2 linked regions of the Arabidopsis thaliana genome follow. The protein of the gene in region 1 interacts with the protein of each later gene in a pairwise test. Each region holds a gene or a part of one and is shown on either strand. Other genes may lie near its edges.

The links.
Region 2: the proteins of bbx23 (region 1) and GATA10 interact in binary tests that used the Arabidopsis thaliana proteins (3 or more experiments, as listed by UniProt).

Annotation. Positions count from the first base shown.
Region 1 is NC_003075.7:6,364,052-6,379,128, forward strand, and holds bbx23 (B-box zinc finger family protein), read right to left. Parts: upstream 5,900-15,077; 5' UTR 5,476-5,899; coding exon 5,275-5,475; intron 5,204-5,274; coding exon 4,916-5,203; 3' UTR 4,778-4,915; downstream 1-4,777. Other genes in the region: AT4G10220 (NEP-interacting protein, putative (DUF239)), read left to right, coding at 49-102, 217-339, 672-1,028; AT4G10230 (no-apical-meristem-associated carboxy-terminal domain protein), read left to right, coding at 2,210-2,302, 2,406-3,134; ATHSP22.0 (HSP20-like chaperones superfamily protein), read left to right, coding at 6,486-7,073; AT4G10260 (pfkB-like carbohydrate kinase family protein), read right to left, coding at 7,435-7,569, 7,654-7,770, 7,849-7,983, 8,058-8,468, 8,543-8,719; AT4G10265 (Wound-responsive family protein), read right to left, coding at 9,175-9,426; AT4G10270 (Wound-responsive family protein), read left to right, coding at 10,754-11,026; AT4G10280 (RmlC-like cupins superfamily protein), read right to left, coding at 11,169-11,385, 11,740-11,945. UniProt on the Arabidopsis thaliana protein: Probable transcription factor that may be involved in seedling photomorphogenesis.
Region 2 is NC_003070.9:2,478,094-2,494,095, forward strand, and holds GATA10 (GATA transcription factor 10), read right to left. Parts: upstream 7,634-16,002; 5' UTR 7,419-7,633; coding exon of another isoform or gene 7,251-7,418; 5' UTR 6,794-7,250; exon of another isoform or gene 6,475-6,793; 5' UTR 6,472-6,474; coding exon 6,211-6,471; intron 6,033-6,210; coding exon 5,367-6,032; 3' UTR 5,147-5,366; downstream 1-5,146. Other genes in the region: AT1G07990 (SIT4 phosphatase-associated family protein), read left to right, coding at 93-168, 295-369, 506-559, 886-945, 1,030-1,146, 1,307-1,401, 1,497-1,705, 2,085-2,182 and 8 more; AT1G08005 (serine/threonine-protein phosphatase 6 regulatory subunit), read left to right, coding at 7,251-7,418; GATA11 (GATA transcription factor 11), read right to left, coding at 8,109-8,753, 9,043-9,309; TPST (tyrosylprotein sulfotransferase), read right to left, coding at 11,482-11,652, 11,731-11,865, 11,954-12,073, 12,146-12,196, 12,284-12,333, 12,920-13,064, 13,157-13,261, 13,341-13,481 and 4 more. UniProt on the Arabidopsis thaliana protein: Transcriptional activator that specifically binds 5'-GATA-3' or 5'-GAT-3' motifs within gene promoters. May be involved in the regulation of some light-responsive genes.

The sequences.
Region 1 (15,077 bases):
TTTTTTCTATTATTAATGTATATGAATCATATTTTCTATTCATTTTAGGTACACCCACAATTATACCATGACTTCAACTCTCGGATATTCGTATTTACAAAAGTAAGTGGGCTAGTTCTTGTTTTTATATAATTTAATTATACCATATATATACACGATGTATGCATAATTGATAAACCAATGACTTATGGTCGCATATTATATGGTTGAATTCAGTCGGGAGGAAATGCGTGTTATAATCTCTTCTGTCCTGACGGATCCGGAATGATACTAGTTCGTCAAGACTTAACTCCTGGTCTACTTGCCGAGCAAAAAAGTATTGACTTCGCCATAATGAAGGTCAGTTCTTTTCCAACTAGTATACCCATAACTTTGTATATTTCGGGTATTCAAGAACGTTTGAGTATATGATATGTCTAGTAATATCAATATGTAGATGCATGCAAATATGAATATGGATATGGGTAAAGAAAATTTAGTGTTAGGGTATTTGTATCCCATCCAACATATATAACTAACTTTCATTTATTCATATTAGATTTTTAAAAGAATACATAAATTAAATCCAGTGAAGATTTTGTCAATTATAGTTTAACAAAAATGAGATCATGTATGGGTTCTCGTGGTTCTCCTAGTTTTTATTTTTGTTGATATTTAAAGTTTGAGTACAGGACAAAATCAACGGGAATTGGTGGTTGTTGATGGGTACATCTTGGGAAGAAGTTGGGTTTTGGCCATCAAGCAGATTCAAAGAAAGTTCTGGTACAATGGTCGAATGGGGTGGTGAAGTCTATAGCCCTTCGCCTCCAAATCCTCCAATGGGGAATAGTCATTATCCGAAGGGGAGCCCCAAAGTAGACTCATATGTCCGTTTAATTACGACTGTGGACGAAAATTATAATACTGACAAAACAGTGAAAAACACAGAGAGGTATTCAGACAGTTGTTATAAAGTGAGAGATGCAACGGAGACGTTTTGGAGCCATGTCGGTCATCTTATTATATATGGAGGCCCTGGGTGTAAATAAACATTGATAGTGCTTACCATTATTCTAAAATTGTAATATCAGAAAAATCATGAGAATAAGTTTCTTAGTACGAAGAAAAAAAAACTTAAGAGAAATTTAAAGAACATTTTTATATCTTTTTATTCAACTTGTTCGACTTTGTTAGAAAGGGGAATAAAGAAGAACTATTTTTATGTTCCAAATTTAGAAAATAATACTATTTTTTATCTCATAATCGATAGAAAATTCCACTAAAAATTAAAAAAATTTATTCAGACAAAAAAAAGCTAAATTTTAATCATATGCAAATCTTTTTTTTTTATATAGATATAGTTCTCTAGAAAAACATTAATTGGTGTTAACACTCTTAAGTACTTTAGAAATATTTTAGAACTTACGCTTAATCATATGATTAGGCTCAATAGTCTACATGCATTTGATTCTTGTGTGTGGTAATAATAAGGATTATTTTATTGGATCGATTTGTAAGAAAAAATGACTAATAAAAGCAATGAAATATTACGATCTTTGTGCTGGATGAAATTGTGTAATTTCGATATTTTCGAGAAATATAATTTTATGTGGTTTTTTTTTTTTTTTTGTAAACGTGTGGTTTTGTTGTTACTTGTTACTATGCAGTTGTAGTTAAGTGCTATGAAGGAGGAGGTCGCTGCAGAGGCTTCATGCAAGGAGAGATCATAAGCCCTAAGGGCATCTCCAACCACAACACTAAAATGGTGTTAGAATAACACTATATTTGGTGTGATTTTCACACTAAATTCTTTTTCATCTCCAACCACAACACCAAAAGTCACACTAAAAATACTATTCTCTATTATTATTTTATTAACCTAAAATATGAATACTTTAAAAATATTTAATAATATTGAAACAAATGTTAGACAACAAATTATTACATTAAACAAATTTAATACAAAATAAAGAAACACAATATATTATTTAATTAAACACAACATATTATTTTATTCTTCATTAATTAATATAACATAATATTACAATTTTTGTCATATTCTATTCAAGAAGATATACAATTGTGTCATGTGTATCTCGATGTTTCCCAAAATCCAATAATAGGAATAAACCAATCAGGAGATCAACTATGGACAAGAGTTGAAGCTGAGTATCATAAATCCGATCCTTTTCGTCTTCAACGAAGACCAAAAAGATCTTTACAAACTCGAATGACGTCAATTCTTTCTGCAGTCTCAAAGCTGAGAGGATGCGTTAACCAAATTGAGAATAAAAATCCTAGCGGTGCTTCTGAAGAAGACATTGTAAGTACTCAATTATAAATTCTTGTGTTTACTAACTTATCTTTATTAAATTATTTGTACATGCTAACTTATTTTTATTTGTTTCTTGTAAATATGTAATCAGTTAAACCAAGCGAAGATGTTATTAACTCAATATGAAAAATACAAGAGAGGATTCAAATTTGATCATGTATGGCCTATTCTTAAAGGTATTGAGAAATTTGCTAATGATAACATGAAGACACCCCCTGCATTCCAAGGAGAAGGTCGTGATGTTACGTCATCTTCATCATTTTCAATCAATACCGAGTCATCACCTTCCCCTGGTATGAATTCAATTGATCTAAATATGGATAGTGAAGATGCCAATTTTAGTTTATCTTCAAGGCCTATGGGTTTGAAAAAAGCAAAGCGAAAACAACAATCTGAAGAACAGTTTAAACAACTTTTGGAGCAAAATGATAAACTTATCAAAGCTATTACTAAAGGTACTTCTGAAAGAAATGAAATTCAAAGGCAGAAGATCGAGGTAGCTAGAATGAAAGAAGAGAATAAAATATTATTTGCAGATTTGAATTCTATAAGTGATCCATCCTCTCGTGCATATGTTGAAAATGAGAGAAAAAGAATTTTGGAAAAAAGAGCACAAACAAACCAACATGAAGAAGATGGTGAAGGCTCCCAATATCATGGATCTCAATATCGAGCATCTCATTATCAAGAAAGTCTATTTCATGGAAAACAAGTTCAAGGAGAACCGGATCAAGGTGAAGACAAAAGATCACCAAATAACCAAGAAGATTTTACCCAATATTATAATTATCTTAGCGGAACCGGAAATAATTTTCCTTAACCATTTGTGAAGCTTTTGTTATGTTTTTAAAACATATCTTGTTGCATTTAGTTTTTATGTTTGTGTGGTTTTAATTTTTTAATTATGTTATAAATGTATAATTTATTTTATTGTATTTTCAATCAACTTCGGTATTAGTTTTAATATTTTCTACTAATCCATCATTTTATTAAATTAAAGATTACAAAAATAGTACTTATAAATTATTTTTTAGTTACAACCCTTAGTTAGATTACTTAAATCTCATTACAAATCATATATAATCTATTATAACTAAATAAGCTATTTTAATATATAATAATGTTAACACAAAAGAAAAAATTATTATTTTAATATTTGCCGTGGCTACAGTAGTGCATCAAATATAGTGTTACACTGTACAAAAAAAGAGAATCACACTATTATAGTGCAAATTATACCGTCTGATTGGAGTGAAAAAGTAAACATGCCCACGTTATTTTAACGTTTTCCCGTGGCGTTGGACTTGGCCTTAGATATAAATGAACTCATGCCAGAAAATATTAAGTTACGTACTGTCAATGATTGAAAGTGAAAGTTTTGTTTGATCAAGAATCAGGGAGCAGTCATCTATTTAGTTTTCCTTGACTAGCATTGTAAAGATCATTTTTCAAGAATTTGATGTTCTTTCTGATTAAAAATCTTATACCACTAGGTTTGGAATATTAACAAGACTACAAGAGTCTAACATCCCATTATGAATCAAACTTTTTTTCCAGGTTTATTGTACACTATAGAGAACTTGTTCAGTAATCAATAGTCTTGTTTAGGTATGAAATATATGACTTTACCCCTAATTCGTGGAGATTTGTTGGTGAAGATAGCGACTGGTTCATACCACGGACCACGGTTAAAAGAGCATGTCATGTCTGTAAATGGAAATACTTACTGGCTTGCTTGCACGCAAGACATAGAAAGTGGGGAATTCTTACTTTGTTTGGATTTTTCAATAGAGAGATTTACAAGTGTGTCTCTCCCGGGTGATCATCCTTTTTATCATCATCCTATCACTTTATCAGTGACTAGAGAAGATCAAAAATGTTGTATGTTAGCTACTCGTGGCATGCGAGTAGGCGATATAGATGTATCATGTAGGGATTGCAACTAAGATTGACGGTACCGGAGCCGCGTCATGGAGAAAGTTTCTACAAGCCTTTTTGGTTTGCTAGTGGGATAAATTTTTGGTCGACCAGGAGAACAAAGTTTTGGTGTGTCGTGGTAAGCATGGGGTCTCCAACGTTTTTTTACACGTTGTGGGAGAAGATAAATGTATACAATTGGATCATGATGAGGAAGAATCTCAATGGTCACTTCTTAATCAGTTATGTTCCAACGTTGGTTCAAATCCAACAAGGTCTATAGTTCTTGTAGTGAGGCAAAAAGAAAGTACAAGAGCTAATAGTAGTAATCTATGACTGTCTCATTAAGTTATGCATTTTCTATCCAAGTCTTGATATTTGAGATAAATAATTATATTTAATCAATAATTATTTATTCATTTTTTAAATTTTGTTTATATATCTAAGATCGATTCAAATAGTATTCACATTTCTACAATTCTTGAAACTATTGGAACAACTTAGCTTTGGTTGTGTCGATGCCATGACCACTGACTTTAGTTGTTAAGTCATGGTTTTAATATTTGTTGTAACAAAAAGATTTGATTCCTCAACAAGTTTTTCTTCTGTGTAAGATAATATATTACAGAAACTTTTATTATTAAACATCAATGGCTCCGGAACCATGATGTTGTGTGTATATCTCTAAGGACTTAAGATTACAGAAGGATTCTTGTGTACTATCTCACCTGAGTTTCCAGCTTCAGTTTCCTCACTAGAGTACTGACTATTCAGAGACACTTTTGACTGAATCTGGTAAGTTTCAGAGCTAAAACTAGTGCTGCATTCGGAGTTTTCAGTCAAAGACTGATCAGAAACTTGTACTCCAGAAAGTAAGAATCTTTGGTGAGAATTGCAAGTGTGAATGGCTTCATCACAATCATTGCACAGCATTGCTCTATCCTCTAAGCAGAAGAAGTACCCTTTTCTCTCCTGCATATACATATATATGAGACATCGGTTAAAGAGCTCAGCGAGTGTTTAAAGAGAAAAGAGATTGGAACCTGGCAGATATCACATAGAGGAGCTCCAGAAGCTGTGGTGGCTGAGGCTGCATCTTTTTGTAAGGCGACTCGGTGATGTCTTTGGAAAAGTTTATTAGCTTCATGAACCTTAATGTCACATGGCTTGCATAGTACAGCTTCATCTGAACAACAAAGTACTTCTGCTTCAGCCTTTTCACACACTTCACATTGTATCTTCATCCTTCAACTTTATAATCCAAATCAATGTAAATTGCCAATACACAGACAGAACAAATGTTCTTTGACATTTATGAGAATTAGGACAAGGAGTGAATCTAAATATAGGAAACAAGAAAGAACAAGCTTAAATAAGTTCACATGTGTGGTGGGATCATAAGTTATATCAAAACCTGGCTCTGATACCAAGAGGAATTGATGATCTTTATTCATGAAAAGAGAGAACTATATATAGATATACAACGATATGTCGAAGACGAAATTTTTATCTCAATATGGGGTTATTAGACCAACTTTGGGTGGCATTTAAACCAATAAATGTTCTCCTACCAAAATCTCCATGACAAGATCTTTTTCAGAAGCTTGTATAGTTTTACTTTCTTTTGAAAACATAAATTGACAAACATAGCGACAAGCTTCTCTTAAGACACAAGCATGGCAAGCCAAAAGTAAAGGCAGGACCACAATATGCATAAAGACTGTGGAATTAAAAGTAACTAGCCATAGGGCAATAGAGGTCAAAAACTCTAAAATGTTGTCAGAAACTGAAATGGAGCATGGCATCATTCAAACTCTCTCCCATTCCTTTCCCATGCAGCAGCCAAAATTCTAAGACTCATCACAAACAGAATTGGTCCCAAATATCATAATGGGCCAATAAAAATAGGCCTGGATATAAATAACTATTAAGGCCCAATCCAATCCATAGTTTTTACATGAAGTCTCTGGAACATGAGAGAAGACCCTTAAAGGCACAACAAACTTATCCAACGTGTAGTAACATAATTAGTACAAGTCACAGCCAAAAAAGCTAGAACAATCTCAATATCTCTCTCTGCAAAACTCTACCAAAAGAAAGATATTTCAAGAAACTTCTTCATTCTTCATACAATGTGTATTATATATACACCAGAGAATTGAGACTAACCATCATAGAAAACAAAATAAGAAAGTGAAGTTAAAAGCCTAAAATTTTGGTTTCAACCTTCTACAATAAATCCAAATCACTAACCATGATGAAGCACTTGCTAAGCATCTTCTTCATAGGAGCTTTGTTGCTTGGAAACATCAAAACAAGTGAAGGGTCTTTGTCTTCTGCACTTGAAACTACTCCAGGCAGCTTGCTATCCGATCTCTGGCTAGACCGGTTCCCTGATCCATTCAAGATCTTGGAGAGAATCCCATTAGGACTCGAGAGGGACACAAGCGTGGCTCTGTCTCCAGCAAGAGTAGACTGGAAAGAAACAGCAGAAGGGCATGAGATAATGCTCGATATCCCCGGTTTGAAGAAGGATGAAGTAAAGATAGAAGTGGAGGAGAACGGAGTTTTACGAGTCAGTGGAGAGAGGAAAAGAGAAGAAGAGAAGAAAGGAGATCAATGGCATAGAGTGGAGAGATCATATGGAAAATTCTGGAGACAGTTCAAGCTACCTGATAATGTAGATATGGAATCAGTCAAGGCCAAGCTTGAGAATGGTGTGCTCACTATTAACCTCACGAAACTATCTCCTGAAAAAGTTAAGGGTCCAAGAGTTGTTAACATTGCAGCTGAAGAAGACCAAACTGCAAAAATCAGCTCTTCTGAATCCAAAGAACTCTGATATTGAAGAAACTATATATTACTTTCTGAGTCTGAAGAGAGTTATTATAAATCCAAGAGTTTTGAGTTTCATATTGTGTAAGCTAAATGGAGTGTCATGTTTTGTAACCTATCTACCAAAATCTCTGTAACCTTCTCTATATGCAATAAAATGTTCATTTCTTTATATTATAGAGCCTCTTGATTATTTGTTATAGAACATTAGTCATGTAATTAAAAATCAAGGTATATGAATTAGTTTGGAATCAATTTTGGCAGAAACTTGAAACTAGATTTATTCAGATAACAGAGAAAATACTCTGTGAAAACCAAGGAAATTGACAAGAGTGAAGAAACAGAAACAGAACAGAACAAGATTGAAACTATTTAGACTTAGATTTCATGAGCTTTTGAGCATCAGCTGGAGTGGGAAGTGCAGGAATAGCTCCTTTCTGAGTAGTACACACTGCTCCACATGCATTTGCAAAGGCAAGTGCTTCCTTCAGCTTCCCTTCATCCTGCAACATTCACATTACTCAATCACCAAAACTCAATTTCATATGCCTTATCTATGAACTGAAAACGTCTTTGGTTATACGTACATCGAGTATGGAGCCATCTTTTCCCAATGAGACAAGAAATGCACCAACAAATGAATCACCAGCTCCAGTTGTGTCAACTGCTTTCACAGCGTATCCAGGCACTCTCCCTTTGAATTTCTGCGCTTTTCGACAGTCGAAAAACTTTGTTTAGATAACTCCAAAACACACACAATCATGTCGAATTTGATCCCTTACCTTTGTGTAGTATCTGCAACCTTTCTCTCCATCAGTAACAATAAGCAGCTTAAGCTTATCATGCATAAGAGACAAAACAACATCATCCTTCTCCGCATCTCCACGCGTTAGAAACGTTACCTCATCATCGCTTACCTACACATCACGAAACTCGAACACTAAGATCATCGAAAACACGAGTCCGGTTGTTACAACAAAAACAAACATACCTTGATAATATCAGCCTCATTCCAAATACTTTTGATGCCTTCTATAGCAGCTTCAGTAGAAGGCCAAAGAGGCAACCGAACGTTCGGGTCATAAGAGAGTAAGACTCCCGCATCTTTAGCGGTTTTCATCGCAGCCATGTGAGCTGTTCTACATGGCTCAGAGATCAAGCTAATGGAACCATAGTGGAAAATCTTAGCTTTCTTGATAAGATCCTTGTTGAGTTCAGATTCTTTCAAGAGCATGTCCGCACTAGGGTTCCTGTAAAACATAAACTCTCTCTCACCATCTTTCTTCAAAGTCACAAAGGCCAACGCGGTTCTTGCATTGGTATCAAAGCAAACACCTTCACTGTTCACACCGTTCTTCTTCAATATGTTAACCAACATGTGTCCAAACTCATCATCACCAAACTATAAAAGACATTACACAATCACATATCACTTTTCACCATCAGTTAATAGATTCTAACATAAATTATACAAACCTTGCCGATGAAAGCTGATTTGCCACCGAGTTTGGTGATGGCACAAGCAACATTAGCAGGAGCACCACCAGGGGCTTTGAGAAAACCGGTGGACTCAGCTAAAGAAACACCAGAAGTGTCAGGGACAAAGTCGATAAGCATTTCACCAAAGGAAACTATCAATGGAGTATTAGCCATCTTTACTCAGACAAGAAATGTTCACACACATAAACCAAACAAAATTAACCTCTCTTTATTAAGCTGGAGAATTAGCAACAGAACTGCATGAAAAATGGGATAAGCATTTAACAAAATCCCTAACTTGTAGTAAAAACTCAGTACAAACTTTTGACTGTAACAAACCTCCAATTTAGGGTCCTAATTATATCAACAGAAATAAATCTTTGTCACACACAACGTACCAAATTCTCTGTATTTATATTCAAAGTTTAAGTCTTTCTTACTTAGTTGCAGTAACTGAAAAATCCGATTTGAACAAATCTTATGAAAAGAGATTAATCATTAGTTCAAGACTCAAGAGTCACTTTACAGAGCAAATTCTATACATTTTTAACCTTTTTAAGGGTTTTAAACCCTAAAAGAGACATTATCAAAACTCTATGATTAGGGTTTTCAAATCCCTCCATTGTCCATTAACTAGGACCCCAACAGCTCAAGTACATGACTGTCCTCAGCGATTCTTCAGCTTGCTTGGTCTTGTTGGTATAATCGATTGATGAGGAAGAGAGCTTCTTAGCTTGCGACACGGATCTTAAGTTGTTGCGTAGATACTGATTCGCAGATCGGATCACGTAGTTCCAACGACACACGCCTAGTTGGTCTTTCAATGCCTCAACGGCTCCGATGCTTGCAGCAACCATCCACGTTTTGCTTGCAGAGCTCATTTCTCTTTGTTTCTTTCTTGTTTAAGTGATTTGGTTTCGATTTTGTGTTTGTTGATGATGAATGAGAAGTGAATCAAAGTGGGTTTTGTTTATAAAAGAAGAGAAAGCAGACAAAAAGTGCCGTGCCTTTGGAGTTTGAAAGTGCAGACAAAAAGTGGGTTTTGTAGCTGCTGGTTTTCTTGGTTTCTGCTGAAACTATGAATGTTTAGTTCAATGACGATTTTGCCCATGTTTAGTTCATCGACTTGAGCTGCTTTTTTTTTTTTTAAATAATAATATAGATCCTAATTTTTGTGTATACTAGAATGATCTGTATATTAAATCTATAAAAATTTTAAAAATTAATGTACTACTTGAAACGAAATTTATTATTTATAAAATGACTGATTAAAGGATAAAATAAAACAAATCTCTATATTCTTTTTTACAATCTCTTTTTTTTAGTAAAATGTTAAATTTTATATCATTTTAAATTTTTGACAGAAGTTATAAAGAGAACTGAGAACGGATTAAAGCAATTTACAGAAAAGTAAAATAATATTACTACTCTAATTGTATACGATTGCTCAAGAGCGCATACCAGTAAATCGCAAAGAAAAACACCAATTCCAAATCTACTAAACTCGGAAATTTGTGTGGTTGTCACAGAACCAACATTCTAAAATTCTCATTCTAATTGTTATGAGCGGAAATATGTTTACTAATTTAGCGGAAATATTTGATGATACTAGTTTTACTTTTGATTTTTTGAATACTCATGTTAAATGGTATTCATCTTCTGTATGAAAGAAAGAAAAAAAAAAAAAGTAAGTCATCGCAAAACCATTTTTCTTTTGATTGAATTTTTATTTATTTATTTACATTTTGTGTTTAATATATTTTTTACTTTTTTGGTCGGCAAATGATTTTTGATATTATATTATTATTCATCTCCAACATGCATTATTCTACAAGGAGATAAAGAAAACATTTACTATATTTCAAAACTTGGACACAACACGAAACCCAAACAAGTGAACAATCTCAAAACCAGGTGCACATGATAGCGGCACTCGTTAATCCAGGAACTACCAGAATCCCAATATTACCCCTTATCCAATTCGTTCTTAAAAGGCTAACAACGTCATTTTACTATCCAGACAGTAGTAAACAACCAAAACCAACGGCCACAGCTTCTAGTTTTAACTCCAACTACACGGCAATATTGTTGGCTTCTTCTCTCTTACATAAACACACCAATTCACTTCACTTTCTAAACATCATCAACAAAAACAATTCTCAATACACAAAACACAAAACACAAAGAAGTTTAATTCTCTGAAGAAAGATGAGTTCTACAAGCAAAGCATGGACAGTGGCAGTGAGCATCGGAGCCGTAGAGGCATTAAAAGACCAACTAGGTCTTTGTCGGTGGAACTACATACTCCGGTCGGTTAATCAACATCTCCGGAACAACGTTAGATCTGTTTCTCAAGGGAAAAGGTTCTCTTCGTCTTCTGTCTCCGCAGCCGTTACCTCCTCTGGTGAGAGCGAGAAGGCTAAGAAGGCTGAAGAATCTCTTAGAACAGTCATGTACTTGAGCTGTTGGGGTCCTAATTAAATTGTATATAATATATAGTTTTCTTACTTCTATAATCAGAATCCTAATCAACATTGCAATTCCATAGATATTATTAGTTCAAAGTAGTAACCAAGTACAACAAACAAACATCAATGTGACTCAAATTCTCTCTACAAAGTCACTACTCCTCTAAGCTATATTGCTTCTTCACAGCTTCAGTTATCTCCCAAACAACTTTCATATCTTTAGGGAAAACAACAACATCTCCTTTCCCTATCTCAAAGGTTTCTTCTTCTTCGTCGTATCCGTCTACATTCACTTTCACTTTCCCTTCCATGAAATATATTGTCTCTGTCTTCTTAAACTCCCATGGAAACTTGCTTGGAGCACCTTCCCACCTACTCAATGTACATCACAACTCAGTCCATAAATGCAATGTATAACATTTTTCTCTGGTTTATTCGTCTAATTTAAGAATCAATCATTTGTAGAGAGACTAACACAAAAATTACATGATTCAGACACAAGTGAACTTGTCTGTTTCAGAGTCTCAGACACAAGTATATGTAAACAGATTCTTGCAGCAGGAAATGTCCTGAGCTAACAGTGGTGAGATTCTGTAAAATTGATGATACAAATCCTCAGGTTGGATCAACACTAACAAGTAAAGCCATTGAGGAAAACCCTAAGCCCTAGTTCTGTATCTGCGCCATTAAAGCAAAGAAGCAGAGAGATATGAGAAAGTTACTGACTTGGGCCAAGAGGCAACGCCTAATTGAGCAAGTTTGGTATCTGAAGCTTGACGCAAGATCTTGACACCATGAATTTCAGTAGGAATCTCAGAATCGGAAGAGACAGATACGATTGCTTCTTTAGGGTTTAGCTTCGTGGTGATGAAAGAAACGCAAACGCAGACTGTTACGAGAAGCAGAGATAACGTTAAAAAATGATTACCCATTTGGATTTTCACAACTTTGAGTTTCGAATTGATGAAAACGAAGCCAAAGATTTCAGCTTTTTCTATAGAGACGGTCTCTTCGAGTTCTTTGAAGTTGGTAACTTTACCAAATCTGAGAGCTGCAAAGAAGTTTTTTTTTACTGTTTTGAGAAAAAAAACTGCAATTGGTGCAAATCTTAAATTAGCGCAACTAATTAGCAGATTAACCTAAAAATTATTTTTGGGGCGGTAACTGAATTTTTTTTTAGAATTTAATCACCACTAAGGATTTAACCCGTAATACATCACGGAACAAATATTTTATTTATATATAATGATACTATTAAATTTTATAGTTTTAGTTTAATATTAAAATTATATAATTTTATATTAATGTTATAACTAAAACATTGATGATGATAAAATAATAAAATAAATATTTAACATGTGTTATATATATCAATCTAAATCCGTTCTGCTATATTTCATATCAATGTAAACCCGTTCCGCTATATTTTTTGTCTCATGATATTTTAACTTTTTATAAGTTTAAATATTAGTTGTGATTGTGATTCTGGACTTTTAATTCCATGGAATATTCAAACCAAGATAAGAAAGTTTTTAGGTGCATATATAATTGAGAATATTACGTGATTAGACACTTTTTTGAAAGTTTATCCGTAATTAGGCACTTAAAAATCATTAGGCACTTTGAATAATTAAAATTACTTGTTCACCCTCGTATCGTCGGTTTTCTATAACCAAACAAATCAAATCCATTTTCACTAAACCAATTCAGATTTATGGAGCCCACGATTTTGTAGTTGCCTTTGTGATTTAAATTTTTTTTCCAGAATCGTAAAAATCCAAATCCAATAAAAAATCCTAAATTACAATTTCTCGAAAAGGGGACTCCGGCGACGGGATATCCATCTCCTCCGTCACTGTCCACCACCACTGCTTTTCACACTACACTCTCGTTTGCTCTTTCAACCGTAAAACACCAAACCCAATTCTCTTGTCATTTCCTCTAAATCTCTGCAATTTCTTAAATCGATTTGGATTTACTTTGCCTGAAAAACTCTTAACTCGTACTGTCCAAACTCAATTTCAATTTCAATTGAGGTTACTTCGAGAAAAGTTCAAGAATTTCGGAACAACTAAGGTAAAGTTTTGTCATGTTGACTTCGGAGATCTTGTTCGTAATTCTGTGATAATGTTTGATAACTTCTCTGCCCAGTTTGTTTGAAATTCAGTACTTGAGGTTCTCTATTGGACAGAAGATGAACATATGGACTACAACACTTGGACAATCCGTAATGGACAACCACACATTTTGTTTGCAGCGTATGTGTCGTTACAAAATTGAAAATCATTGTCCACGACCATACATGACTGCACAGCTTGGTGTTTGATAATTCAAGGAAAAAGCCATATAAAGGTTCTATTTCTTAATCTTACATTTTGGAAGAAATCAAATCATTGATTTAAGAAATAATATGTAAGCTTGGATGCTAGAGCTTTAGGTGATCCTATGGCCAGATTAGGATATTGATTTAACTTTGTTCTTACTGCTACTCAACATTGATTGTCTGGTATTAAGTTGTAAAAGAGTAATTTGACTTATCCATTTGTGTTGATATAATTGGTCATTATAATGTGATTAGTCAATAGAAAACCTTAGAGTACATAATATCAAACTTTTAACTTTGTTAATTTCTTTAGGCGAGTGGGTGAATACATCAGTTAGACTTGCTTTTGCACATCATGTGATCATCGTTATTGATGTCATCCAAAGAAATCTGTCCATTCATACGCAAACATGAAGGTACTGTTGTTTGGACACTCCTTACTTTAAAACCCCACCTTAGTTTGCAAGTCATTACTTGACTAATTTACTTTAAAAACAAAATTTAGGTTAGGAACATTGTGTCAGATCCTATTTTCGATACAAGTGGGAACATCCAAGTCAACAAACCTACAATGGGGTACCAAATTTTATTAATCGTCTACTCCTTGTTACGTTGGACATGATTTTTTGGATACTTTCTTACATTTTTTCCTTATTGAAGGTCGTGTTTCTTATGGTTTTTCTGACCATCTTCATTTCTACTTCAACTCAATCAGAACATTTTGGAGAGGCTTCCTGCATCCCAATCATTGAAAGATCCCCAAACTGAAAAAAAATTCTAATGAGCAAATGAAGGTCTACATGTACACTAAATTATCTTTATGATTTACAGTCCTTGTAATATTGGACAGTATTTTTTGGATAGATATTTAAATAATCTTCTTATTGGAGGCATCGCTTTTTGTTGGTGATCTAGTATTTGATATCAGTTCCAAACTTGACCAACATACTCAATCATCTCCCACACATAATCCCAAAGTTGGGTTATCTCCAATGGAAGTATTTCTTATCATCTACAACTGTCTATCGATGCACTCTATCTATCATTTGTAAATATGTCTTAGTAAAGTATAATAATTTCACAACATCATTATTATATCTTTCAGTATAAAATCTCTCTCTATCAAGATATGGATCTACACGATGTTGTGGATAATCAGGTAGGCATAAAATTAAATAACTAGAACATGTATATTTATTATTACTGAAAAGCAGTCAATTTTTACTACAACATTCTTAGTTCTATTATTAATTGTTTACAGAAAACATAAGATTGCTATCAAAGTCTTGTTAGTTATGTTGTGAAACCAATCTCTGAAGACCTAACATAACGCAAGTTAGTTATGTTTGCAGACAAATCCATCTTCTCGTCCGTTTAATTGTTATATGATCGGACGGTCATTATTTCTCATTAACTTCTATTTAAACTGCAAATCTTACCACGTTCATTTGATCCGAATTAACCCATTATTCTACACGTGTTTGGTACACACAATTACAAACCAAAACCAATGACCGGTTATTCTTCTTTTCGTGATTCAGTTTATTTGGGGTATAATGGTCTATTTTCACTCCAAAAACAAAGAAAAGTGTCTCAACCTTGGAAAGTGCCTGTTTTGTCTAAACTTTTTCCCAAAGTGCCTTATTACGGAACATTCCCTATATAATTAGGTTTGCTCATTTTACGAGATTGTAAATGTATTTTGGTTTGTTTCACAATGTTTGTTTTAATTTAATGCCGA
Region 2 (16,002 bases), on another chromosome or scaffold:
ACCATCCTCTCCTTTTGCCTTTTATCCACTTTTCTTTTGAATGGTTCTGGATTTCTTTTCTCTCTAACTAATAATAGTTTCTTCTCTTTTAGGTTTCCATTCATCTCTTGTGAAATATTTACATGTGAAATTGATGTTATTCTAAAAACTTTGGTCGAGGATGAAGAGGTATTTTTCATTCATCCTACTACCTTTTCCTCAAATAGCAGTTCATACTTTTCACTTTTCTGTGCATCTGGATTATGTTTATTGTTATCCTAGATTCTCATTTGTTCGAATAATTTTATCTTGCAGCTGATGAACTTGCTTTTTTCCTTTCTGGAACCAAATCGTCCTCATAGTGCATTGCTGGCAGGCTATTTCAGCAAGGTATTCTCTCTTACGATACATAAGTTTACGTATTAGCCAAGTTCCTGTAATTTTCTTTTGTTTTGTTTGTACCGATACATATGACTTCATTTCAAGGCTCCGAGAAGTGATTCTTACTTCTCTCTGTTTGGTGTAGGTTGTCATTTGCCTTATGATCAGAAAAACTGCAGCGCTTATGAATTATGTAAAAGTAAGTAATAACACATAGTTAAACGGATGGTAAACTATATGAGAAATATATTATGGAAACTATTTGAACTGATTTCTAGGATTATCCAGGAGTACTGTAGAATACGTCTTATTTTCTGTTAACTCTTCTATTCAGAATTGATATTACCTTCCATTGTAATCTCGCAAGCCAGATGTCCGTCTATTTAGTAAATTGTTAGTAGATGAGATTGACATGACTCTATTCTTCAATTGCTGGCAATTATATTGATGTGACAGACAATTTAGTTGAATTTTTTTGTTATTTGTTTTGTATTCAGTTCTCAAAGTAACTTTTGATGATCACAGGGGCATCAAAATGTTTTCTGCCAGTTAGTTGATTTGATTGGGATAACATCCATCATGGAGGTAATTGGTTTGACTTAGACTCAGTGCAACTTGGTGTGGTTTCAGAGGTCTTTTTTGCTATGATATTTACGCGACTTTTTCTAGGTTTTGGTTCGCTTGGTTGGGGCTGATGACCAAGTCTATCCCAACTTTCTGGATGTGATGCAATGGTTGGCTGATAGCAATTTACTTGAAATGATCGTGGACAAACTTAAACCATCTGTAAGTGGTTAAGCTTTTCTATAATCATCCCAGAGACAAGAGGCTCTTGGTTTTCTCTTTGATACTTGTAGGTGGTGTAAATCTAGGATATCTGATGATATTACTAATTTCTTCTATCATCTTCATTCTGATATGTTTCTTGCATTACAACTTGAATCAGAGTCCTCCGGAGGTTCAGGCAAATGCAGCAGAAACATTATGTGCAATTTCTCGGAATGCACCGTCAGCTTTAGCTACGCAGCTCTCTAGCCCTGGGTTTGTAATCTTTCTTCCATGATGATTCCTAATGCTTTGATAGATGATACAAAAGTGTTTCACATGGCAGCACAACTTTTTCCCTGTTTTTGCAGCTACGTTGCAAAGATATTTGGTCATGCTCTTGAAGACTCGCATTCAAAATCCGGTCTAGTTCATTCACTTTCAGTATGCACCTCTCTTCTGGATCCGAGGAGATCTGCTGTTTCATCTTCTATGTTCAATTCTTACAGAGGTCAACATATGTTCGAGTCTCCTGTCCCAGTTTCCCCAGAAACTATTGGTGCCATGCTGCCCAAACTCAGTAAGTTGGATCCTATGATGCACCATCGTCACATGACCATCAAGATTATTAATTTTCTGGCTTTTTTATTTGTTGCATGCACATAATCTTATTGTGCACTTGGACAATAGTCAATCCTTTTCTTATGTGATATTACTTTCCATTTGCGAGGATACCTAGAGTATTTAGCATCTATCTGGACGTTCTGTTTGATCTTCCCTGCTCTCTATTTGGTCTCTTCTATTTTGGTTTATATTGATAAATGGAAACTGGTTTTACATAATTCTGGAATGCTTACGTAGCACATCTTGGATATGTATGATACTGTCTCATACAAGTTTTTCAAATCAGGTTTTATGCATTCAATGACCTTAAGTAATATTTTTTTTTTTTTCTGCAGATGACTTGCTTATGCTTCTCACTGTAGCATCTGATAGCACAGTATTGCCTACAACATATGGTGAACTGAGGCCTCCTCTCGGAAAGCATCGTCTAAAGGTCAGGTCCAAACATGGAGCATTTTATGGAAGACATTGTCGTTTTTAGGACACCAACAGTGCTCTTAATATATTGTATGTAAAGTCTCTATACTTAATTAGACTCACTTATCTTATTTTCTTTGTTTCAGATTGTGGAGTTCATTGCAGTTTTGTTGAAAACTAGAAGTGAAGCTGCACAAAAGGAATTAGTCAGTTCAGGAACAATCAAAAGGACCCTTGATCTGTTTTTCGAGTAGGTTTTGCTAAACTTAAAATTTTGTGATTACCGTGTGCTATTTCTACGAGATCTTAAAAAATCAAATACTCTCGACATATGAAGGTACCCGTACAATAATGCTCTGCATCATCAAGTGGAGAGTATAATACTTTCTTGTTTGGAAAACAAGAGCGATTTGATGGTTAACCATATTCTTCGAGACTGCGATCTGATTGGCAAATTCCTCTTGTCGGACAGGGACTCAAACCTCTTAGGTGATAGCCAGGTATTACCATTTGCTATGTTCACAAAGGTTTAACTGATCATCAGCATATGAAAGAGTCATCTTAATACAGCTCCAAGTTAGCTCCATTGACTCATTGCTCCAGCGTTCATTAGCTAAACAAATATTCTCTGGCATTTTCTTTTTCTTTTGTGCGAGGTAGCCCACTGTAGCTGCCTCCGGGAAAAAAAAACCTCGTGTCGGGTATGTCGGGCATATCACAAGAATATCAAATAAAATTGGTCAGTTGAGTAACAGCAATGGCCAGATAAAGGCATACCTTCAGGTTGGTATAAAAATTATACGTGTCGTGTTGTTTTTCTTCTGCCGCTTTTTTGTCACTTCACACGCATAAAGAATGTAAAACCATTAGTTGAGTCTTGTGATGAATGGTCCTAGCACTCTGTTGGAATCTACCATGTTTGCTGATTGTGCTTTGTTCATTCCCAAATCTTTAGGAAAACAGCGAATGGAATGAGTGGCAAGGTAGTGTTCTGCAGGACCGCAACACGGTTGAAAATGTCAACAGATGGGGATGTGGGTATGTTAACCTCTACTCACAAATCATCTAGTAACCATTTAATTGGTCAGTCTGCTACATAATGCTGATTATGGATGTAAAAATTCATGTGTGATCCTTGTTCCTCTTGGACAAAACCCTCAAAGATAATTCTGCATTGATGACTGATGGTATCATAGTCAAATAATATTTCTTCTCATGACGAGACCACTCAGTAAATGCACCATGATCTGGTCCCGGGTTTTGGATTTTATCTTCACTCTTTTTGGTTATAAAAATTCCTAAACTAATTGTTACGTGTAGGCGCCCAACTACCCTACAAGATAGGACAAGAGATAGCGATGAGGAAGACAGGGATTACGATGTTGCAGCTCTGGCCAATAACTTAAGCCAAGCATTTAGATACAAAATATATGGAAACGATGACAATGAAGAGGTATCTTCTCACACTAGTGCTTTTTCTTCAATTTATGAATGATTTCCTGGGTACTGAATTTATCGTCTTTGTATTTCTCTCAGGACCACAATGCCCTTGATAGAGACGATGATGTAAGTCTTGCAAAAATTCTTCTCTCCGCTTTTTTGAAAAATCAAGGAAACTATCAACATCTTTTATCACACTATGATACGTATGGGGGATGTACGCTAATAAGAGTTTGCTATTGAAAATTGGAATGTGTTTATATACTATACAGGATGTTTACTTCGACGATGAATCTGCTGAAGTAGTAATTTCATCCTTAAGACTTGGGGATGACCAAGGAAGGTGAGTTTATCTTTTTATTATCTGTTAATACTGGTGTCCTCATGTCCTTGCTTTAAACTACAGTTACTGTATCTTGGTGATTGAATTATGTCATCTCTCTTGACCAAAAAACGAATGATGACGTCTCTCAAAATAATGACTTGAATCTTTTTTGGTATTTTGCCGCAGCTTGTTTACAAATTCGAATTGGTTCACATTCCAAGACGATAGATTCGGCAGCACACCCTCTGACACAGCGGGTTCGAACACGATAGACGTGGAATTGAATAAAACCTATAATGCCAACACTAGCAGTAGTGACGATGATGAAGTTGTGGTTGGAGAAGAAGACGATGATCTAACTGGAAACCCAAAAGACAACGCGTTGAACACAACTGAAACCAACTTTCAAATGGAGAGTCCACTGGATTTCTTCGACTTCAACACCTCACAGAAAGCTGAAGAAGCTTTTGCTGAACAGCCACCCGAATGGGTCGGGTGGGGAGAACCATCTGATATGCAAGCGAGTGGCACCGGTCTGAACCCATTTATCGATGATGATGATGATGATGACAGCAAGCACATAATGAACCTCGACATACCAATGGCTGAGGTCAAATCTGAATCCATGATTCCAAACGGGTCAGAAAGATCGTTATTTGAGAAGGACGTGGAATTTGTGGGAGTGGAACCAGAAGGGGCAGAGAAAGCGATGGAGCAAGCGATGAAAGAAGGGATAGTAGGAGAAGCTGGAGTGATGAAGAAGAACAAGGAGATGGCTGAGGACTCAAAGCCGGAGGAAAGTTCAGGAGGAGTGAAAGAGTTCAACGATAACAACTACTGGAAAGTGGATCAAGAAGTTGGAGTGTTGGAATGAAAAAGTCGTTACCTTGTACAGTGTCATTTTGTGTGAGAGTATGATACAAAACTTGTTATTAGTTAAAATTTGGTGCAAGGGTCTCTCTCTCTTTGGCATGTATCTTTTTCTCTTTTATCATTAGGCTTCTGTTGTTGTCAGCTAGAGGAAGTTGTCTGTGCTTATTTACTTTGCCTACCACGAAGTTGTCCGTTTTAAAGTATATTTGGACTCTTTTGAGTTTAGTTTCGCTTGACAAACATCAAATCATATAGTAAACCTAAAGGGTGACAAAGTCAATAAATGAATTTGAAGCTATTCACTTCTTTTGAACTAATATAAAATATTAAGACAGACGAAAAATAGAAGATTATGGGATTGAAGCAAAGAAGCAAAAAAGCAAACATTGGCTTTCACCTCTCTTCCTCTGATACACAAACGTCAGTGCAACCATATTGCTCGCAAAATGAGAGAGAGATAAGATAAATCACATAATGAAACAACAAATATGTTATATCCCTAACTTGACTAAACCCCTAAACTCTCTTCATCAGATTTGAAAACAGTCACTAACCCCTACTTTTATACCATTTTCTTCCTCCCCTGCTTTACCTTCTGGATATCACTGCGAATCATGCTGGTATCAAACTCGTCGTCCTTCTTTCTCATCTCAATGATCTTCCTGTGTGAGTTTGAATGCACAGATGGGATGAAGGTCGGGCTTGAGGCTGGCCGGTATTCTGGAACTAGGCGACCAGATTTGAACCGGACTCCGCAAGCGTTGCAGAGGGTCTTGGGTCCACTGGGTCCTTGCCTCCACTGTGGGGTCGTGATTGTCTCACAATGAGTGCATATCCGGACTATCCCATCCGACTTACTTGACTCCAAAGTGGAAGACTCGGTGTGGGTGATCAGATGAATCTTGCGCTTCTTCTTGGCATGTTGCTCAGAAGAATAGTAACCCTCGGTTACTGATTCACCCGGAGTTGACTTTCTGGGTTCAAAGGGGAAAAGGTAGCTAAGTCTCACTGTTGTGGGGCGTCTGCGCTTGCTTCTCATGCCTTTCACAGGGAAAGCCAATCTCTGAGATCCGGAGTTTTGGGTGGAGAGAGAACCATAACTGTTCTCGAGAACTGACACTGGAGTTAGAGACTGAAATAGATATGAAACTTTGATATCAGGAGGAGCTGAAGATTGGTGGGGAGTGCTATTAATGCCGGACAAGGCTTCAGAAGAACAGGACTGCTTCTGCACCCACAGAACCAAAGAAAGCAGATGGATTAAAATTCAGGAATCAGGAACACAATCAATGCACCTCTACATGAATGATGCTAATAAGCAAGACAAATTCAGTTTAAATAGATGATATACTCTATCTAATAGGGTAAAACTCTATCAAGTAAGTGATAAGAAAACAAGAACTGACCAAAGCAGGAATCATGTTGTTGGGAATCCGCACACGAGCGGCGCCCTTGGGACAAGAGGTGAGGTCAGAAGGCAAAGCAGGGAACATATCCAAGGGAGGAGGCTCAAGGTCTTGAAACCTGGCGACCCAATCTCCCTCACCATTGGTGGAATCGATGTCTTCAAGTGGGCAATCAAGGTGATTGGTGAGACCATCAAAGAAATCACCAGAGAGAATACCTTTCAAGTGCTCCTCAGCTTCAGCTTCAGGTAACCAATTCATCTACTGTAAACCAAGAAAAGGTAAAGCGATTAGAAAATGAGCTTAAAACTCAACACATATGCAGCAGGAGTTCAAGAACAGCTCCCATGTCCACCAAAAAATTACAAGTTAAAAAATTCAATTACGAGGTTTCACTAATGACACAGACTTAAAGCAATTTCGCAACAGATAACAATGACGACATTTGAAGGTAACGAAGATTGAAACAATTTCTTTTAACAGTGAGACAAGTGTCGGTCGCAAGTATTCATTCCCACACCACCAAAGCAACAAAATATAAAACCCAGTAAAGAAAGAAAGAAAGAGAGAGGAGAGCAAGAACCTTGTAATATATAATTAGACTACACAGAGAAAAGGACGACGAATTTGGAGATGGTCTAAATTGGGGGTTTAGGGATTGCAGGTTCGTTCGAATTTGGGAATGGGAGAGAGAAGAGGAGGGAGAAAAAGGTAGATGGAGTTTTCAATGTCTCGTCATTTTTGTTTTTGCTTTTAATGGTCAACTGGTTTGGGATTTATATACACAGAAATGAACACATGAGTTGCGATTAGTCATTCCAAATTATTAATCAGAGACCCTTTGGGTTGGGGTATATAAACACAACCCACCAAAAAGATTAGACCTTGGGTACCAACAACCCACTAAAGCAGAGAACATAATGAGGCTAAGGTTTGTTATCCATCTTCACAAGTCATGAGGCTAAGGTCTCCAACCAAAAGATCAATGTTCTTTATCGATGATGATGACACCAAGAACATAATGAGCCTCGACATTACCAATGCCTGACGTCAAAACCGAATCTTTGATTCCAAACGGTTCAGAAAGATCCTTCTTTGATAAGGACGTGGAATTTGTGGGAGTGGAAGCACAAGTGACAGAGAAAGGCATGGAGCAAGCGATGAAGATGAACAAGGAGATGGCTGAGGACCTAAAGACTGAGGAATGAAAGAGTTCAACGATAACAATTACTGGAAAGTGGATCATGAAGTTGGAGTTTAGAGTCAGCATCTTGTACAGTGTGATTTTGTATGAGCGTAATGAAACAAAACTTGGTTTTAGTTGAAATTTCTTGTAGGTGAGTCTCTCGTCTCTGTGAAAAAAGCTTTTGTTTTCTAATCTTTCTCTGTTATCATTAAGTTTCTGTTGTTGTCAGCTAGAGGAAGTTGTTACTTAGCTTACCACCAAGGTGTCCGTCTTTAACCTACATAGAAACTCTTTTGCACTTCAGTTTCCTTCTGTTGAACATTAATCATATACGTACATAAGCAAGCAGCCTCCATGACTGAATTTGATGGGCGTTTATTTTTCAACTAATGCAAAATAGTAAAACAGATGAAAAAAAGAAGAAGATTATGGGATTGAAGAATAAAAAGAATAGATTTGAAATAGCGAAAAAAAGAGAGCAAACTTTGGCTTCACCTGTTTTCCTCTGATACACAAATGTCAGCCAAGAGATAAAGATAAAAACACATAATGAAACAACAAAATATTTCATATCCCTAACTTGAACTAAACCACTAAACTCTCTTCATCAGATTTGAAAACAGTCACTAAACCCTACTTTTATACCATCTTCTTCCTCCACTGACTTCCCATTTCTGCGGATCAGAGACCAAACTTTAAAAAAAAAACTGCTTTACCCTCTGGATATCACTGCCCGAATCATGCTGCTATCAAACTGTTCGTCGTCCTTCCTTCTCATCTCAATGATCTTCCTGTGTGAGTTTGAATGCACAGCTGGGATGAAGGTGGGGCTTGAGGCTGGTCGGTATTCTGGAACTAGGCGACCAGATCTGAACCTCACTCCGCAAGCATTGCAGAGGGTCTTCGGTCCACTGGGTCCTTCCCTCCACTGTGGGGTCTTGGTTGTCTCGCAATGAGTGCATTTGCGGACTATCCCATCCGAGTTGCTTGCCTCCAGAGTGGAAGAGACCGTGCGGGTGGTCAGGTGGATCTTGCGTTTCTTCTTGGCATGTTGCTCAGAAGAAAAGTAACACTCGGATTCAGGTTTGCCCGGGGTTGACTTCTCGGGCTTTCGGGGTTCAGAGGGGAAAAGGTAGCTAAGTCTCAGTGTTGTGGGGCGTTTGCGCTTGCTTCTCATGCCTTTCACAGGGAAAGCCAATCTCTGAGATCCATTGTTGTGGGTCGAGAGAGAACCATAACTGTTCTCGAGAACTGACACTGGACTTAAAGACTGAAATAGTTTCGAAACTTTGATTTCAGGAGGAGCTGAAGATTGGTGGAGAGTGCTGGACAAGGCTTCAGAAGAATAGGACTGTTTCTGCACCAACGAAACCAAACAAATCAGATGGATTGCAAAATCAGGAACACAATCAATGCACCAGTAAAGTAAGTGACACAAGATTATACTCGGATTAGGAATACCCTCTACATGAATGCTGCTAACTATGGTTATAAACACAGCGGAAAGTGAAAGATTGACATCACTCAAATTATATGAGTAACTAAATAAGCAAGAAAATTTCAGGTAGAAAAGCTTTTTTTACTCAAATTGGGTAAAAATCAAAACAAGTAAAATGCAAAAGTGATAAAAAAAACAAAGAACTCACCAAAGCAGGAATGTTCCTTTGAATATCCACACGAGGGGCCTTGGCCATGCCAGAGCCGCAAGAGGTGAGGTCAGAAGGCAAAGTGGGGAACATATCCATGGGAGGAGGCTCAAGGTCTTGAAACCTGTCAACCCAATCTCCTTCACCATTGGTGGTATCAATGTCATCAAGAGGGACGTCAAGGTGATTGATGAGATCATCAAAGAAATCACCAGAGAGAAGACCTTTGAAGTCATCCTCAGCTTCAGCTTCAGGTAACCAATTCATGCTATCTATCTAACTGTACCCAAGAAAAGATAAAACACATTCAAAAATCAGCGTAAAATTCACCAAAAGCTGAATTCAAAAACAGCTTCATGTCCAGTTAAATAAAAAAAAAAAAACTTTGGGGGTTTCACTCAAAACTCTGACACAATCAGACAGAGACATATGCTAAAACAATTACAAAACAGAAAATTTACCCAATACAATAACAATGACGACATCATTTTAAGGTAACGAAGATTGAAACAATTCCTTCAAACATCACTGAGAATTTAATTAAAAAAATCACAGAGATAAGTGTCGGTTCACACACCAACAAAGCAAGCAACCAAATTTATTTCCTACATTTTTCGAAAACAACGCAAAACGTAACAGAGGAAAATGCAAGACAAGACACAATAAAAGAGAAAGCTTTTACCCTAACGAGAGAAAGAGAGGGAGAGAGAGACGCAACGAACCTTGTAATATAATTCGACTATACAGAGAAGAGGAGAGAGAGAGAGAGAGTCGTCGTACGATGACGAACTGGAGATGGTCTCAAATTGGGGATTTAGGGATTGCAGGTTCGACTTTGGGAGGGAGAGAGAGAGAAAGAGAAAAGGTAGATGGGAGTTTTCAATGTCTCGTCAGTTTCTTTGAGAGAGAGATTCATTCATTTAAAATAGATAATAATGTAATACTATTACTTACTTACTTACTTACTTGTATATGAAAATTATTATTATGGAAACTGCTTTTCTTAACTTTAAAGAAAAATCTTAATCAGTTTCTTTGAGAAATAAAAATCTCTCTATCAACGCGTTTTACCAAAAAGAAAAAAAAAACTCAATTTTGGTTCTTTTACATATGTCAATAAATATATATATACACTAACTGAAGTAGTAATAGTATTTGTTAAGTTAATCCAAGTCAATTGAAAACGTTGCACTAAAACTTGTGGGTACAACTGTAACATTAAACCTCTTCTTGCAATTAATAAAGATATTGTATCATTAAAGCTGATATATATAAGGTAAGTAAAATATCAGTCAAATATTTTATCTGAATGGGTTTTAAGGAATATATGTCGGTGTAATGAAAGGATAAAAGAAAGAATTTACCCATTTTAACATGGTAATAGTATGTCGACATGGAAATTAAAAGATGGTAATAACACTTAATGATGGTCAAAAGAATTAAATAGAGAAATGATTGCGTGGAATAGATCTAAAAAGGAAAATAGGATAAGCACATGGCAAAATAACCTTGAGGGAAGGATGGTTGATAGATCTCGATCTCTAGCAATAATAATAGATAGTATCATGAATTGATGTATAATTTAATTTACGTAGCAAACAAATAAGTTGGGTTTAACATAATATACTAAAAACCTTTAGTATAATAGAGAGAGTCAAAGTGAAATGGAGAGATCACCGACGAAGGATTAAGAGACGAGAACCGAAATAATAATAATAATAAAGATGATTATGGCGTTTCCTCATGGGAAAGTGGGTCCCTTGCCTAACTCTTTGCTTCCATCTCCCACATGATATGTTTCATCCCTTTCACTTACTATCTTCCTCCCATCAATCAATTATTATTATTAGTATTTTTTATATAAAAAAAAATTAATATACACGATCTTCATATTTCTTTTCATTTTTTCTTCTTATATAGTTTATATGATTTTTTCTTCAAAATTTTTGACATATTATTGTTTACACTGCGTCGTTGATAAGAAAACAAATATCACGTGGGGGTATATTTACTGCTTTTGTACAATTTGTTTTATAGAGATTTGTATGAACTGTACTTTAAATTGCACACAGTCTGTTGCGTGAAAAATGGTACAGTCAAATTCAAACCAGTTAGTAGTGTACTTTCTCAAAAAAAAAAAAAAAAAAAAATTGTGAAATCTTATTACTTTTATCTTTATTGATTAAGCTCACTTAAACAAAAAAAAAAAAAGAAGCACTAATTTTGTGACTTTACCTGTTTTGTTTAGCCTTTTAAAATAAAGTAGATAGAGAGTTTTTTTTTACTTGTGATTTTCCCTTTTTCACCTGTAAGGTAAGGCAACACCCAAAACTTTTTCTTTTTCCACGAAAAGTAGAAAAAGAAAGAGAATAATATTACAAATTGGACCCCAAAAGCTTCTTCAAATTGCTGATTTGGTCCAAAATATAGTGACAATGATCAAATCTTAACTTTGGAGGTTCTTCTCCTTTTAGCGTTTACAAATAGAAAGAAGAGGACGATCAATAAAAGCATCAATGCCACTGGTACGAACTTCCATAGCTTCTCTTCACCCATTTCTCCCAATACGCTCTTTAACTCACTCGGCAGATCAACAATGCTTCTCTTAGACTGCACACGAATCATGGAGTTTAGTCTTATATCAGACAGAAACTAAAAGGCGAAATGTGAAGACAAGAAGTTTCTTACACTTGAGATCAACTTATTCGACACTAATTCATGTTCTTTGGCAAAGATTACTTTTGCATATTTGTAGAGCTCCACATCGAGGTTGTTAAGCGATTTGATCTGCTGAATGACCTCTTTAGGAACTCTTGTACGCGTCTGTTAGATGCATTGTCAAAAGATTTCATTATTCCAGCCTTCTCTCATTAACTTTACTAAGTTTAGATCATGTACGAAAACACTTTACCCCTCTTGTAAAATTTGCTGGAGTTATTCTCTTCAGAGAGTTGACCCGTCTGGTTCCTTGGGACTTTCGTAAATGAGTGATGCAGCCTTCATAGACTTCCATAAGGGTTTTTACCGTCATCTGAAGTGTATATATAAAAGTCACACAAGGTCTCAAGCGTTGATAATAAATTGGAAAAGGGATTCTACTTACATTCCCACTCTTAGCTTCTGCCTTATTCAATGTAACTTCAGATGTACCATTCTGTAATGTCACAGCCATTTTCAGCAAGACAATTACAAAAATGACAGTTGAACAAACAAATTATTACCTTCTGCAGCAGGACTTTACCTGAATATTACTCTTATCTGACCCGGTTTCTGAAATTGTGACACTTGCTTCTGAAGCATCAAGGAAATAAAGTTGACAATTTGGTGAGTGCAAGTACAACCATTTGTTATCCTGACTTTAAATACAACAAAAGCAATAGAAAGCCTAGGCTGTATGCACATGAACTGTCATATCATCATTCTACTTACTCTAAGAGACTATGATTAACCAACAAAGAAACTTTAATAAACCCAGGGACCCAGAGTAACAAGACACAAGTCTAAAACAAAAGAGGGCAAGAGAACCTTTAAAGATGATGTGACAACAAGAAACATAGATCAGAAAAATCTTCATGATGAAAGACAATCAAACCTTATACGATAATCCCCAAATAACAGAGAACAATAAGTAGCTTCCCTAGGTAATTAAAAATCAAACTCCTAAAAAGTGAATGAAAAATATCAGTCAAACATTTTAATGAATAATATGACGGGTTTTGACTTTCAAAAGCCAAAAACTAAAGTAAATACCATCTCCAAAGCGGTACTCTGAAAAAACTGTACACTGTGACTAAAAAAATGATCACCATGTCCTTCAACTAAGTTGCTAGATTCTCCTTAGATAGCCCAGCGATGGTATTAAGAAACTTACACCAACCTGATTTAAGAGCTTTGATTTTCGCAGTTGCATTGGACGGAACCACTTGAGACAGCACTTGAGAACCCACTACATTGGCAAAAAGTGATGCAGATTCCCTGTGCTCCTCTGTCAGTCCAACATACAACATGCTGTCTAGCCTCCTCTGCAAAATTTAAAAAAGCTTACAGAATCTGCTGCTTTTAAAAGCACAATACCAAGACGCAGTGAACTATGATGAAGAAGAAGTGTTACTACCTTGGCAACTTGGAGAACAGACTCACCAAGGCTTTTGAATTTCTGCACACAATGCCGAACCTCGTGTGCTTCTGATAAATGGGAGTTATTTGTCAATCCTGCAATCTGTGAAGTGAAATGAAAATGCTCTGGAGATCTCTAATCAATAACTTTGAAAACTTAAACAAATAGCATGAAAAAGTACCTGAAAAGTCGCTCCATTGTGGATGATGTCATGAGCAGTAGGCGCATCAAGATATTTGTGCAAAGGCATAAGCATCTCCTCCATGTCATACGGGTTATCGTCCTCAATGATCACTACCTCCTTCAATTTTCGTGCATCTCGCTAAGAAAAGCCAAGGATGAGTAAAAAAAGCTTCAGCCCAAGTTTTATGTGTTCTTATCATGTTCTAGCTTAAAAGCCAAAAAAGACGAATGGGATAGGTCGACATACCCGAGCAAACAAGTCTTCTCTCATCCATGGAACTAGGTATTTCCATGGCCATATGTCTAGTGTGCTTATTACATTACTCTTGCGTATGCGGCTAGACATCCTTGACGCAGAAGTTAAATTGGGATGCACCAAAAACCTAGCTGCTACCTCTACGGAAAATTCATAAGTGCTTAACACACGCGCAATAGGATCCCGAACTATTGTCATCACCGAAGTTCTCTCCCTCGGAAGCTTTGCCATCAAACTATAATCATCATGTGTGGCTAACAACTTGCACTTTTCCTTCCTATAAATTTACGAGTCAACACGATCTTAACTGTCCGAAGGTAGTAACACCACAGGCAAAATACTTTTTTCACATTGTTTTTCTTTAGGTAAAGGAGGCTAGGGAAAATTGATTTTCATATGAAACAATATTTAACTTTATATATGTCTAGCTAAGCTATCTAAAGTCAACTTAACAACCAATAGAATGTACAAACAGCATTCTGTAAGCCATCTTATTGTTTCCACAAGAAAGAGTCTTTGGCATCAAATAAAGACGTACAATTAGCGAGAGCACTGATGAAATTAAGATACCTTGGATTGAAGTGGAGCTTGTCGTAAGATCGAGGACATTCCTCAGAGCTATCATACAACTTCCTCAAAAAACTACAAGAGCACAAACACAGCCTTAACCACACAACAATCATAAAAGAATCTCTCAAAAACTTTTTGGTAAAGGAAATCAAATCACCAATGAAAATATGTTCTGCCTCCAGTTCGCGGAACGTGGAGAAAGAAGAGCAAATCCTTAAGCGAGCGTTTGTCTTTATTAACATGTTCTTCACGAGATGAAGAAGAATCAGCCCATTTTTTCACAAGAGTTTCGCAATGGCCAAAATCAAGTTCCGCAAAAGAGCCAATAACTGAGATATAATTTGCCAATTATTCCAAGAACATCAGAGACAAGTCCAGCTTTTTTATCAAATGAACAATTTTGTAAAACCATTCTGCATACATACCTGAGCTAAGAAGTAATAACCCAAGAGACAGCTTCCAAACAGAGTTCATTTGCATTGTGCCTCGATTCCAAACCCTACTGATTACCAAAACGATTATAAGTGAAAGAAGGATCAATCTTTATTCGAAAGAAACAAAACCCAGGAAGGGAAAAGAGTAGGTGATCAATCGGTGAGGATGAACATTAACGGTTGCAAGTTGTATAAAAACAAAACCGAAAGATTTTGGGGGAAGGAGACAGAGGAAAAACAGGGCAAAAGGGACCCAGAAAATCGAATAAAGAAAGGAACAAAGGAACAAGAGAGAGAAGCAGAGGCCTACGTGTATGGGGAATCGAGATCTCGTGCTCATAAATTCCCTCGATCGCTGTTTTGGGGGCAAAACTCGCTATCTACTAGGTCCTACGAAAACAAGGAAAAGATGTGTTTTTGTGTGTGTGTGTGATTACATCGATTGGAGGAGGAAGACGAAGAAGAAGAGAGATTGTGTGCGCTCCCGAGAGAACAGGGTCACGAGATTTTCTCTTGGTTTCTCGCCACCCAGAAAAATTATAAACACGCACTGAGGAAGACACTAGTGTCAAATTTGATTTAGCCAAACGAATTAATCTTTTTTGAGAGAGACCAATGCTTTTTTTTTTTTTTTTTTTCCACTAGTCAGTAATAGTATGAATGCACTTTCCTTTCTGGTTCGAGTGCGGTTTGACCAATGCCTTCTATATAATACAAAATGAAATACATAACCGGTTATCGGAACGAAAACCGAAATCGGTAAACCGTGGGTATACAACTATACATCCCCTCTTTGTGTAATATTTTGTTCTTCACTTCTTTTGGCCTTTTAGTTGCGTCTTGATCTTCTTGTTGCTTCTGGTGACATGTACATCCATCCCTCGTTGTGTGTGAAAGACCTCAAGGAGGAAACTTATAGTTACAGGATCATGGTTATGAGTTATGACTCATTTGTTCTTAGTCATTGCTTCAGTTCAATCATTCGTTCACAGATTTTTATGAGCATTAAAGTTTTCCGTTGAGATTTGAGAGTTCAATCCTGACAGTGGCCATACTTTATGCTTAAATGTTATAAGGCCTAAAGTCTAGAGTTTATTTGCTTTAAGTAAAAAGACCAGACTTGTCTACAAAAAAATGTTGTGGGTTCAAATGTCTCATGCTGATGGCGGATGCTGTCTCCTTTCAATCTTGTCATCGTTCCATTCGTTTTGCAATGACTTGTTTGTTTTCATCTATACAATAAAAATATCTGTTTTTTAATTTTTAATATAATTTGTTGCCATGTTTATTGTAATCCTAAAATATCAATAAATATGTATTTAACTAAAAATATATATAAATTCCTTTAGAGATAAATATTACCTCCATAGGTTTCCAATAAATAGCAAAGTAATTATACA